Linked DNA regions of Arabidopsis thaliana. The protein of the gene in region 1 interacts with the protein of each later gene in a pairwise test. Each region holds a gene or a part of one and is shown in the gene's direction. Other genes may lie near its edges.

Region 1 (4,026 bases):
ACCCTAGTGCAAGATCCGCGGTCATGCTCAATTAAGTGCTAAAAGTTAGACTAGTAGACCAAATTTGAATCCGATATATATATTACCTTGGTGCCGAACTCAAACTTAGACATGCTCGAACCTCAACACCAAGAACACTCGATGTTTTTGCCAATACTTACATAAAAGCTATTGGAGGATCACTAATAAATGATTGATCATCAATCATCATGCTTTGCGGACTCTCTTTTTCGTTGAGGGGTAAATGATTACAAATAAACATGCGCGCGTGGATATAACGCACTTGGTCAGTGCGTGTGGCACAAGTCAGAGTGAACACGTGGGACAGCCAGATCACACTGAAACACAACTCCGACATCTTGTCGGATCTTATGTAAAGCGTTGGGTCCCACTTTTCATAATATCTCTCACCACGAAACCCATCTTTTTGCTCTCAATTATTGTCGCTCATTGCCGTATCTCTTCATAATTTCACTATATACATGTCTACGTTAGGCGGAAATTATTAAATTGTTTTTGGAATTTTAGTTTACATGTTATTTTTTTCTAAATAAACATGAAATATATTTACAAAAGTATATCCAAACCATCATTTTTTTATTGTTTACATATACACTAATGACACTTTTATTTGGATTGTGAATTATGATTATGCAACGATCACTAGTAGTTTACTAGAACAATTAAGTTTACATGCTTCAGGCATTGTAAAACAACTATTTACAAAAACTGAAGTTAGTCTACAACTAGTTTTTGTGAAAAGAAAGGAATATTAGACGATAAAAAAGTAGGCAGCAGTTAAAGGAATCAAATAATTAACAAGTTAGCATTGATTGAGGCGGATGGTTACACATGATAAGGAGCAGGCGAGTGAGGAAACAACACAACACGCACGATCACGCTGTTATGACCCACATGCTCCTATCTCCATGTTACTGTACGCAAAGTGGTTATACATTTACACACACTTGACCAATATTGCTCACATTTAAATTTTTATTTCTAAAGGAAAAAGCACAAACATTTAAAGGTTTTACTGACGGAAGAAACGAAAAAAAGTAGTAGCTTTAAAATGTCATTGTTGATGAAAGTAGAAACCATGATGATGATATTTATGTGCAAATATTCATCTCACACGTATATCATTGGTTCATAACCGTTGGTTGGTCCACAACTTTGAACAAGTTCAGATTCTTTTTGATTGTGTTTTGTACCAACCACTCCAATTAGTCAATATTCCATTATATCCAACCTCAAATACTATTTTCCCTTTTCTCTTTAAAAAATATTTGGACAAATAATTGGCTACACTATTGGAGATTTGACTCAGCTCGGTATGCCGTAACTAATCAAGATACTATTTTCTATACTTTCTTTTATTGATATCCACATAATACATGTACTTTGAGTATAATGACGTGTACTTGATTAAGACAAAACGAAGTACGAGAATTATTGTATTTATCAACTTTGAGACATACTACATGATATGGATCATGAAAATTAACACAAGTAGTGCAAATTGCGTTATCCATATACAAAAAACATCGCACCTTGATGATTCACTTAATTGTAGATTACTTTCTCAGAGTGGTCCGGACATTTCTATTGGTTTTAAAGACATTGGCTTTAAATCTTCAGACACAAAACACATATACATGTGTACACTTGAAAACATATTGGCCATCTTATTTGTTTTGGACAAACTGCCATCTTATTATGCATGGGTTCTTGTAAGGAATAAACTAAAAATGTTTGTGAAAGAAAAAGAAAAACACAAATATTGAGAAAGTACAAAAAGAAAGACATGGCAAAGGCCAAAGGGGGGACACAAGTTGGAGATAAAGTAATACAAGTCCAAAAACAAAGAAACAATAATGATGGATTGTAATTAGCCACCTGACAAAATCTCTCATCATTCAAAGTACTATATTAATCCCCTCTCTTCTTCATTACCATCTCACATCTCTCTCTATTTCTCTTCCACAAAGAGTCCTAACTTCGAGTTGAAACAAACACCATTTCTCATCTCTATCTCAGAAAGAACAAACCATTTCGTGTTCTTTCTTTCTCTATTCTCATAAGGAAATATAATTCCTGAAACTGTTGAGTTCTTGTGAAAGGAAATAAAAAACATGATGATGGGCAAAGAAGATCTAGGTTTGAGCCTAAGCTTAGGGTTTTCACAAAATCACAATCCTCTTCAGATGAATCTGAATCCTAACTCTTCATTATCAAACAATCTCCAGAGACTCCCATGGAACCAAACATTCGATCCTACATCAGGTATATACTTAAATCTTCTCTGTTTTTTTTTTTAAAGAAACAGAACAGATTTCAGAATTGAAGTATGAGACTTTTCTTCGTTTCCAAGTAAAATAAAAACAGATCTCAAACTTAAAATTTGATTGCTCTTTGCAGATCTTCGCAAGATAGACGTGAACAGTTTTCCATCAACGGTTAACTGCGAGGAAGACACAGGAGTTTCGTCACCAAACAGTACGATCTCAAGCACCATTAGCGGGAAGAGAAGTGAGAGAGAAGGAATCTCCGGAACCGGCGTTGGCTCCGGCGACGATCACGACGAGATCACTCCGGATCGAGGGTACTCACGTGGAACCTCAGATGAAGAAGAAGACGGGGGCGAAACGTCGAGGAAGAAGCTCAGGTTATCAAAAGATCAGTCTGCTTTTCTCGAAGAGACTTTCAAAGAACACAACACTCTCAATCCCGTAAGTGTAAAAAAGTCAGAGGAATCAAATGATAATTATCGTAATTACTTTGAAATAACCAAGGTTATTATCATAATTTACAGAAACAGAAGCTAGCTTTGGCTAAGAAGCTGAACTTGACGGCAAGACAAGTGGAAGTGTGGTTCCAAAACAGAAGAGCTAGGTGAGATTTTCTTGTCTTAACACCAAAATTGTAAAATTACATTTATACCCCCTTGTGTAGAAGTTTTTACTTACAAGGTCCGATTTGGTTTTACAGAACCAAGTTAAAGCAAACGGAGGTAGATTGCGAATACTTGAAACGGTGCGTAGAGAAGCTAACGGAAGAGAACCGGAGACTTCAGAAAGAGGCTATGGAGCTTCGAACTCTCAAGCTGTCTCCACAATTCTACGGTCAGATGACTCCACCAACTACACTCATCATGTGTCCTTCGTGCGAGCGTGTGGGTGGCCCATCATCATCGAACCATCACCACAATCACAGGCCCGTTTCTATCAATCCGTGGGTTGCTTGTGCTGGTCAGGTGGCTCATGGGCTGAATTTTGAAGCCTTGCGTCCACGATCGTGATTTTTTATTTTAGTGGTGGGAAAAGGGTGTTTTGGTATTTTTCGTTATCGTTATATAGTCTATCTGTGTGGGGTCATTGTAATTTTGGATGATTGGCCTTCTCATGAACTAGTCCTATGTATGATGCAACCTTAAAAAGATTTAAATTAGCAAAAATTAGTTACAAACTTGCTATATTAACCAAAAATTATGAAACTATCTTTTTTTGATATCTTACAAGAGTTCTAAATTAAACCAAAAATTCACAAACGTCTTCTAGATAAATACACAGTTTCTGAGCATGGTATAAGTGTAGCTTATATGCAGTTGCTCAAAAAAGAAAAGAAAAAGAAGTGTAGCTTATTTGAAGTTCTTAACGAAATCATGAAATCTTGTGACCTAATCTGACTTCAATTGCTTTTCCGATTCAGATCTGACAAAGATGTATGAGCAATTCTTATTGGGTCTTAATGGGCTACATTATTATGTCGGCCCATACGTTTAGTCTTTCGTCGTCGTTTCCATCTGCGAAAGCGAAACTCTCCTATTTCTCTCACTCAAGTCTCATTCTTACGATTTTCTTAACGAAATCTTTCATCAATCGCTACACTTATAGCGACCCAGATGCCAAATTCATTGATTTCTCGTCTGGTATCTCCTTCATTACGATCTCAGCCCTCAAAAATCTCAGCTTTACGTTTTTTAACAACTGTCTCAGCCGCCGAGAGATTATACGGCCAGCTTCA
Region 2 (4,082 bases), on another chromosome or scaffold:
CCCAATCTTTGTTCATGAGACAACAAAATTCTGGAGTCGGTGAAGTAGACATGACTTAATGGATTCTAAGTTTGTCCGATTTCTCCTTTGTTCCCATGTGATGTCTTAAGATAAAATGATCATCATCACACTTTCTTTTTCTCTTACTCCTTTGTTTCGATTCATAAGGATATATTGCTTTCGTCCACTTCTAATATTCTTATATCACTTTATTTAAAAGACAATGTACAATTTAATAAAATTAATAATTTGATGAATGTTATTGATTCATATAGATATTTAAAATGTATTTGAAAAAGGGGTACAAATCTTATTGTGAATGGATAATTAATTAAGTTGCATACTTCAAAAGACAATCATGTGGATACTTTTTTATTATTAGTTTTATGGATTTGAAATTCTGAAAAATACTCGTCTCAATTATTCTTAGAACATTAAGTTTGACCTAAAAGAATGGTTTGACTAGTAATATGGGAATTATATAGGTGCCCCTTTTCACAGATGATGCATCCGAATAACAAAATCATATTACTTCTTATATCCTACCGTCCATATTAATTATATTAGATTACACATTTAAATATAATATATACATCATTAGATCTAATATAGAAAATCTTATTAAAAAAAAATCCTTATATAAAGAAAAATCACAAGGTTAACACAACCTTATCGATAAATAAAGATGTTAAAACTGATTTTTATATATGAAGCAAAAGTAAATTAGGGCTTAGTGATGTCTAGTTAAAGTACTTGTGTTTTGAAAAGGTAATGAGTCATGACTCAACAAGGTACACAAGGCGTGCATCGGGTAAACCACAACCTTTTGTAATTGTCGATATAACAGCATGCCAATATTCACATGGACCATATACTGTGTGTATATTATATATTACCATATATGTGAGTTACATTTCATATTGTAGAACCAAGGACTAAATTTAAACATAATGTACCATATTCTTTTAATTAGATTATTCATAAGATATCCAATTTAAAAGATGAGTTAAAATGATCAAGAAAACGCTACGCTGAACTCTAAAGTCTAATCTTTATCATTTATAGAAGTGTTATGAAACAAATCAATACCTGGTTAATAATTGATGTAGTTTCATTTTTTTTTTTAAGAAAAGAAAGTGATGAAGTGTTTAACTAGTCATAATATTATAGATCCAACTTCATTTCAATATATCACGAGTGCATTGGCGGCTGCAAAACATATTTTTGAAAAGAGCAAAAAAAAAAATCAAGGATCATAAATAATATAGGTCTTGGCTTTTTAATTCTACCAATAGATTTACAGTGGACAATTAAAGAAAAAAAATCACGAAATTATCATGGTTTGGCTAATTGAGATAAAATTCATACGTTTTCCATCAATAATCGTACATCATCCATTTCACAACAATAATTATTCCTAAAATGTCGTTATTTTCATAACATTGGTTAGATGTTCTAATAAGCTACTATTATATATAACTTCACGTCAATGTATGTTTGATTTTGGCATCTAAAATTTCTGTAAAATTTAGATATTCGCGTATACTTTTTTTGGGATTTTCTTCTTAGCCGTATTATAACTGCAACTCATATCACATACGTGGATGATAAAATATTCGAGTTTAATATCTCCTCCGTATGTAGATTTGATATGATCCATAATATTAAAGATGAAAATGAACTTGACTGATTATTCAGCGCATTCATTTTATTTTCCCTTCGAGGATAGCGAAATCCGCCACGTGGCATTACTACATCCATTGCTTTTTTTAACATAAATACTTAAGTCGCAATTCTTCTAAATTTTGGAGGCTTATGATATTGGTAGGGTTCTCATATTCACTTCCAAAAGCATCTTCTTCTTTCTAATTTTCTTTTTCTTTTTATCTTATTTTCATTTTATTCATATACTTTTTGAAAAGAAAAGTCGAATCACATACTTTCTTCTCTCTATTTCTCATTCTCTCTTCTTCATCATATTACTCATTTTATAGAACAGCAAAACCCTAGATTTCCTGTTCAAGCTCAAGACCGTACAAAACTTTGGAACTCATGTAAGAAACAGTACACGTTTTTTTTTTTGTTTCTTCTTCAGTCCGGATTATAAGAATTTTGTCGATTGAAGAAAACAGGCTAAATTAAACCCTAATTTTCTCTCTTAGACAATTCCTACTTTCTCTCCATTTTTCTGGATTCGCTCTCGTTTTAAAAGGATTCAGAAATTAACTATATTATTTGAATTCTTTTGCCATAATTCCCTTATGTTTTCTGCTAATGGATATACATTTGGTCTTCTTTCTGTATTAGATATAAAGATCTCGAGAATAGCATTATGAATATCGTCTCTTGGAAAGATGCAAACGACGAAGTTGCAGGCGGCGCTACGACAAGACGTGAAAGAGAAGTAAAAGAGGATCAAGAAGAAACCGAAGTCAGAGCCACCAGTGGCAAAACCGTAATTAAAAAGCAGCCTACATCGATCTCTTCTTCTTCTTCTTCGTGGATGAAATCCAAGGATCCGAGGATTGTTAGGGTTTCACGCGCCTTTGGAGGCAAAGACCGTCACAGCAAAGTGTGTACGTTACGTGGACTACGTGACAGACGCGTGAGATTATCAGTCCCAACGGCTATTCAGCTCTACGATCTTCAAGAACGGCTCGGTGTTGACCAGCCTAGCAAAGCCGTTGACTGGTTGCTTGATGCAGCTAAAGAGGAGATCGACGAGCTACCTCCGTTACCTATCTCGCCGGAAAATTTCAGCATCTTCAACCATCATCAGTCCTTCTTGAATCTTGGTCAACGGCCCGGTCAAGATCCGACCCAACTCGGGTTTAAAATCAATGGATGTGTACAAAAGTCTACTACTACTAGCCGCGAAGAAAACGATAGAGAGAAAGGAGAAAACGATGTCGTTTACACAAACAATCATCATGTTGGGTCTTATGGAACTTATCACAACCTGGAACATCATCATCATCATCACCAACATTTGAGTTTACAGGCAGATTATCATAGTCATCAACTACATAGTCTTGTCCCATTTCCATCACAAATTTTGGTATGTCCAATGACGACATCACCAACAACTACAACTATACAATCTTTGTTTCCATCATCATCGTCAGCTGGTTCAGGGACTATGGAGACATTAGATCCGAGGCAAATGGTAAGCCATTTTCAAATGCCATTAATGGGTAATTCTTCATCTTCGTCTTCCCAAAACATTTCGACATTATATTCGTTGTTACATGGTAGTAGTAGCAACAATGGTGGTAGAGACATTGATAATCGGATGTCGTCGGTCCAATTCAACCGAACTAATAGCACTACAACGGCTAACATGTCGAGGCATCTAGGCTCGGAGCGTTGTACAAGTAGAGGAAGTGATCACCATATGTGAAGTTAGATTATTGAAACGATATAATTGTTGTTTGATGTGTTCAGAAATAAGGGGACACAAAACAAAATATAAGGTAATTACTATTGTACTATGTTTTGCTGATATATTTTTTAATAGACAAATTAATGTTATAAATTGATTTATTAATTTACTATTAGCATGTGTTTTGAAACTTTCTCATGTATATATATATATATAGCTTCCTCATAGGATCTGAATACACACAAACATACATGAAATGTATTATAAGTATCTGATAGTAATGTATGCACTTTGAGATGAGAAGCTAAATTACATTCAGATTCATCAAATATTTAGCAAAAAAAAAAATCAGATTCATCAATAGGTAACGTAATAATATGAAATTGAATCTAATAATTTATACTGATCTGTTATCGAGGTATTATGTTTCTATTGGATGCACGGTACAATGCAACTATAGAACTCAATGTGACCGTAGCTAGATAGATTATTAGATGATGATATAAGTGGAGATTCCACAAAACCCAAACAAACCTAACATTACTATGTCATGTGAAGCAGATATATATTGAACCCATTATCAAATAGAAATTCATCATGAATGGTTATTATACATACAAGTGCCCATTTTAAAATCTTATTAGCATAGTAAGTAAACTATCAAGATGCAAAGAAGCCATTCCCATATAAAAATTAAGAT
Region 3 (4,726 bases), on another chromosome or scaffold:
AATCTCTCGTAATCATTCTATTTTGTTGTGTTGCAAATCGTGACCGTAATTCCAAGTGGAAGCTACTTTTGATTTACATTTAATTAATATGCAACCGTGGGATGACATATATTCTCCTTTTCTCTACTAAACAACCTATTTCATGTTTAAATATTATATTTTGTTTTGTTTGATTAATTATTTTATTGTGTTCGTATTAGGTTTGTTAATTGACCCTTTTCTATCATGCTAATATGTCACTTTCTGATTTATTATTACATTAAAGTAGGTGGTCTAATAGTAATTATTTATATGAATAGTTTTAAACTATCAAATAATGCTGTATACTATATATATTTTTCCAACTAAAAAATTATATAGTTATGATCCTTTGCGTCAAGTTTTTATTATTGCTTTGAAGAAAAAACATATTCAACTACTTGAAAATTACGTTAGCTTACCGTACGTGTGTTCAAATTTAATATGCTACAAAATTGTGTGAACAATATAATAGGTTTGTTGTATTTATTCGTTTTTCACCAATCTGGAGATATTTTGTGGTACAAGTATTATAACCACAATATATTCCATACATGAATTAGTTGTGAGAGTTATAGTCAAATTGGTTGGGATTCAAGAAGCATTATACTATTATTATAGAGTCCCACCAATTATTTTTGAACTCGTAAAATTCTCAAGATCTTAGAAATGTCTCCGTTGAAGCTTAGATTGTCTTTTACTCACCTTTATTAGTTTATTTATACGTCGTATTCTTCAATTTCAAAATACCTTTCATATATGAATTTGGGTGATATGCACACGAACACGATACGGTGAAATCAATTAGTTCCACAAGTCAAAATAGCTAGAAAAGAAGTATTGGATTTTAGAACAAAGAATAACGAGAGTCTTATTGTGTTTGTTACTAGTTTATAGAATCTAAAACAGGATTGCAAAAAACAAAAACATCAAAAACGAAGATGAGAGATGAAAAAAGAAAATCTTAGATTATAAAGAGCCCTAATTGTATTGCTAACTAATATTATATTCTTCTTTTAACGAGTTCGATTTTTCGAATAAAATCTACTTTAGTTAACTATTGAGATTCTTACAACAAAAAGGTAAAAAGAAGTGGAGCATCAACAAGCTTTATGTATTTGCATTGAACTAGCATGGGTCAACCCTTAAAAGAAACCGAGAAGCACAAAAGGTTGAATTGAACCTTGACCCATCTAACACCATAGGTTTTTAGGGTATTTATTCATTTATTGAATTCGGAAACTCGAAAAATAAAGTAGCTAGTTCATTCCAGTGATTTCAACTTTTTAAGTATATAATCCCCATGATTATGTATGTATGTGGACATGTCCACGAAAAGAGTGCCCATTTTCATATCAAGGAAGTTAGTAACTCTGACCAAAAGTAGATGTTTTAACACATCTTAGTATTTTTATATCACACTAAATTAAAGTAGTCTGTTTAATGTATTCTCTTAGAAAATAACATAATGATTTGCATGCACATAACAAATCCTATACTATTATTTTGGTAAACAAATTTGGTTTTGGAAACATCTAACTCTAAAAACCATCATTATTATTATTATTATTTTTTTTCTAATATTTTGGCATCCTACAATTTAGTTTATGATTGTGTTGATTATTATTTGGTTGTATTTGCATCTACACATTAAGTTAAACATTGATTTTAAAAATTAACATGAACAAAATGAATACTTACTGTTAAAACCTTATAACAATCAGATTTTTTTTTTAAACAAAGAATGGAAAAAAATGAATAAATTTGGGAAACGAGGAAGCTTTGGTTACCCAAAAAAGAAAGAAAGAAAAAATAAAAGTATTGAATGTGGAGATGAGAGGAAAAAAACACTTACTGTCATCTTACCCAGTTGCGTCATCATCAAACCCACAACACTCTCTTCCTCTTCCCTCTTCCTTCTGCTTATTTTACTTTTTCTCTTTAACCATTTTCCCGAGAGAGAAAAATAAAAAGAAAAGCTTTCTCTGGGTTTTTCTTGATTGGTCAATTACACATCTCCCTTTCTCTCTTCTCTCTCTCACCTTCGCTTGCTTTGCTTGCTTCATCTCTTTGGTCTCCTTCTTGCGTTTTCTATTTACTACACAGACCAAACAATAGAGAGAGACTTTAAGCTATAGAAAAAAAGAGAGAGATTCTCTCAAATATGGGTTAGTCCACAATTTTCACTAAACCTCTTCTTCTTAGGATTGTTTTTAGGGTTAGGGTTTTGAGGTGAGGAGAGCAAGTATGCGGGAGTTTCATCCTTTTTGAGTTACTCTGGATTCCTCACCCTCTAACGACGACCACCGTCGCCGCCGCCGCCGCCGTCTCGACGAATATGCTCTACCAATGTCTGACGACCAATTCCATCACCCGCCGCCTCCTTCTTCAATGAGGCACCGTTCTACGTCGGATGCGGCGGACGGCGGCTGCGGCGAGATTGTTGAGGTGCAAGGTGGTCACATTGTTCGGTCTACCGGAAGAAAAGACCGCCACAGCAAAGTCTGCACGGCTAAAGGGCCACGTGACCGGCGCGTGAGACTCTCTGCTCACACGGCGATTCAGTTTTACGATGTTCAAGACAGGCTTGGTTTCGACCGACCTAGCAAAGCCGTTGATTGGCTTATCAAAAAGGCTAAGACTTCCATTGACGAGCTCGCTGAGCTTCCTCCCTGGAATCCCGCCGATGCAATTCGCCTAGCCGCTGCTAACGCTAAACCCAGAAGAACCACCGCCAAAACCCAAATCTCTCCGTCTCCGCCACCGCCGCAACAGCAACAACAACAACAACAGCTTCAGTTCGGTGTTGGCTTCAACGGAGGAGGAGCAGAGCATCCGAGTAACAACGAGTCGAGTTTTCTCCCGCCGTCAATGGATTCAGATTCGATAGCTGACACTATAAAGTCGTTTTTTCCGGTGATTGGCTCTTCAACGGAGGCTCCTTCGAATCATAACCTTATGCACAACTATCATCATCAGCATCCGCCGGATTTGCTTTCTCGAACTAATAGCCAAAACCAAGATCTCCGTCTCTCGCTGCAATCGTTCCCGGATGGTCCACCGTCGCTTCTGCACCACCAACATCACCACCACACCTCTGCTTCCGCCTCCGAGCCTACTCTGTTCTACGGACAGAGCAATCCGTTAGGGTTTGACACATCGAGTTGGGAGCAGCAGTCGTCGGAATTCGGAAGGATTCAGAGACTAGTGGCTTGGAACAGCGGCGGTGGCGGCGGAGCAACCGATACAGGAAACGGAGGAGGGTTTCTGTTCGCTCCTCCTACTCCTTCAACGACGTCGTTTCAGCCAGTTCTTGGCCAAAGCCAACAGCTTTATTCTCAGAGGGGTCCCCTTCAGTCCAGTTACAGTCCCATGATCCGTGCTTGGTTTGATCCTCACCATCATCACCAATCCATCTCCACCGACGATCTCAACCACCACCATCACCTTCCTCCACCGGTTCACCAATCAGCAATCCCCGGAATCGGATTCGCCTCAGGTGAATTCTCTTCGGGTTTTCGCATACCAGCACGGTTTCAGGGCCAAGAAGAGGAGCAGCACGACGGTCTCACTCACAAGCCGTCCTCTGCTTCCTCTATTTCTCGCCATTGACAATCGAAACTAATCCTCTAAGTTTCAGGTTTATCTCAAGTTCTGTCCTTTTACATCAAATTCACTACTTTTGTACTTCTTTGGTCATTGAACTTTAAACCATTTTGCAGGGCTTGTCTAGCTTCCATGCACATTGAAGCTTGACTTAGATTGTCCGGAACAGGGAAGGTGTTCTCGGTTTGTGTAGTCAATGGCCTGAATCTAGAAAACGCAAGGAAATGAAGAAAGAACAACAGTTTCAGGTTCTTCTTCTTCTTCTTCCAATATCTTAACCTTGCCGATTGTAATTTTTCATATTTTCACCAGTTAGACCAACGTTCTTCTGTAGCTCAATTATGGTTAGATTCCAAGGTTTCGTCTTGTTGTGTTATGTTTGTAACTTTGTATCATCATCATCCTATTGTTACTGCTCCCTGTTCTTATTGTGTAACTCCGTGGATGTTCTAATAAAGTCTGAAACTTTCTCTTTGGGTTTTACTTTTACTGCTCTGTTCAGGCTAGATCCTTGTTATTTAAACAACATGAGATTCCTATTTCTCACGTAATCTTTTGGTCCCAAGAGATATAAGTTGGTCATTTTCCATGAACAGTAAGTTTTGAATTGTTTCTTCTTCTGGAACATCAGGGGGATTTAGCCAGTTCCCTTAAATTACAAGTGAAACTTAGCTCACTAAGAGTAAAAATATGATTATTGTTTTCTATGTCTGATGTCAATAATTGTTCTCTCTCACCTACTTTAGTGGTAGGAGGAGATCCACCAAACTTGAATGTGATGTTGTCTTTGATGAGTAAAAGAATGGGGACATGAGATAGGTAAAGAGAGCCACCCATGTTGGTCTAAATGAAGGAAGTTGATCAAAACTAGTCTATCTTCTCTATCATCATCATCTTTTGATAATAATATTGGATTTTTGCAAAGTTTAGTCAAAAACACTTGGGGTCTAAATGCATGTGTATTATAAGAATATTTAACTTTACCTTTTAATAGAAAAGCAGCAACACCTTTTCATGTGATGTAATCAAAACACACCAGATGGATGAGTTGAGATATCATAAAGTACGTTTACATCAAAAGATAGAAAAGAAGAATCTTCAA

Evidence for each region.
Region 2: the proteins of HAT2 (region 1) and PTF1 interact in binary tests that used the Arabidopsis thaliana proteins (3 or more experiments, as listed by UniProt).
Region 3: the proteins of HAT2 (region 1) and TCP4 interact in binary tests that used the Arabidopsis thaliana proteins (3 or more experiments, as listed by UniProt).

Annotation. Positions count from the first base shown.
Region 1 is NC_003076.8:19,215,757-19,219,782, reverse strand, and holds HAT2 (Homeobox-leucine zipper protein 4 (HB-4) / HD-ZIP protein), read left to right. Parts: upstream 1-1,775; 5' UTR 1,776-2,135; coding exon 2,136-2,286; intron 2,287-2,421; coding exon 2,422-2,732; intron 2,733-2,815; coding exon 2,816-2,895; intron 2,896-2,991; coding exon 2,992-3,301; 3' UTR 3,302-3,512; downstream 3,513-4,026. Other genes in the region: AT5G47360 (Tetratricopeptide repeat (TPR)-like superfamily protein), read left to right, coding at 3,905-4,026. UniProt on the Arabidopsis thaliana protein: Probable transcription factor that plays a role in auxin-mediated morphogenesis. Negatively regulates lateral root elongation.
Region 2 is NC_003074.8:389,190-393,271, forward strand, and holds PTF1 (plastid transcription factor 1), read left to right. Parts: upstream 1-1,530; 5' UTR 1,531-2,054; intron 2,055-2,307; 5' UTR 2,308-2,332; coding exon 2,333-3,400; 3' UTR 3,401-3,578; downstream 3,579-4,082. UniProt on the Arabidopsis thaliana protein: Plays a pivotal role in the control of morphogenesis of shoot organs by negatively regulating the expression of boundary-specific genes such as CUC genes, probably through the induction of miRNA (e.g. miR164).
Region 3 is NC_003074.8:5,059,941-5,064,666, forward strand, and holds TCP4 (TCP family transcription factor 4), read left to right. Parts: upstream 1-1,740; 5' UTR 1,741-2,367; coding exon 2,368-3,630; 3' UTR 3,631-3,658; intron 3,659-3,740; 3' UTR 3,741-4,212; downstream 4,213-4,726. UniProt on the Arabidopsis thaliana protein: Transcription factor playing a pivotal role in the control of morphogenesis of shoot organs by negatively regulating the expression of boundary-specific genes such as CUC genes, probably through the induction of miRNA (e.g. miR164).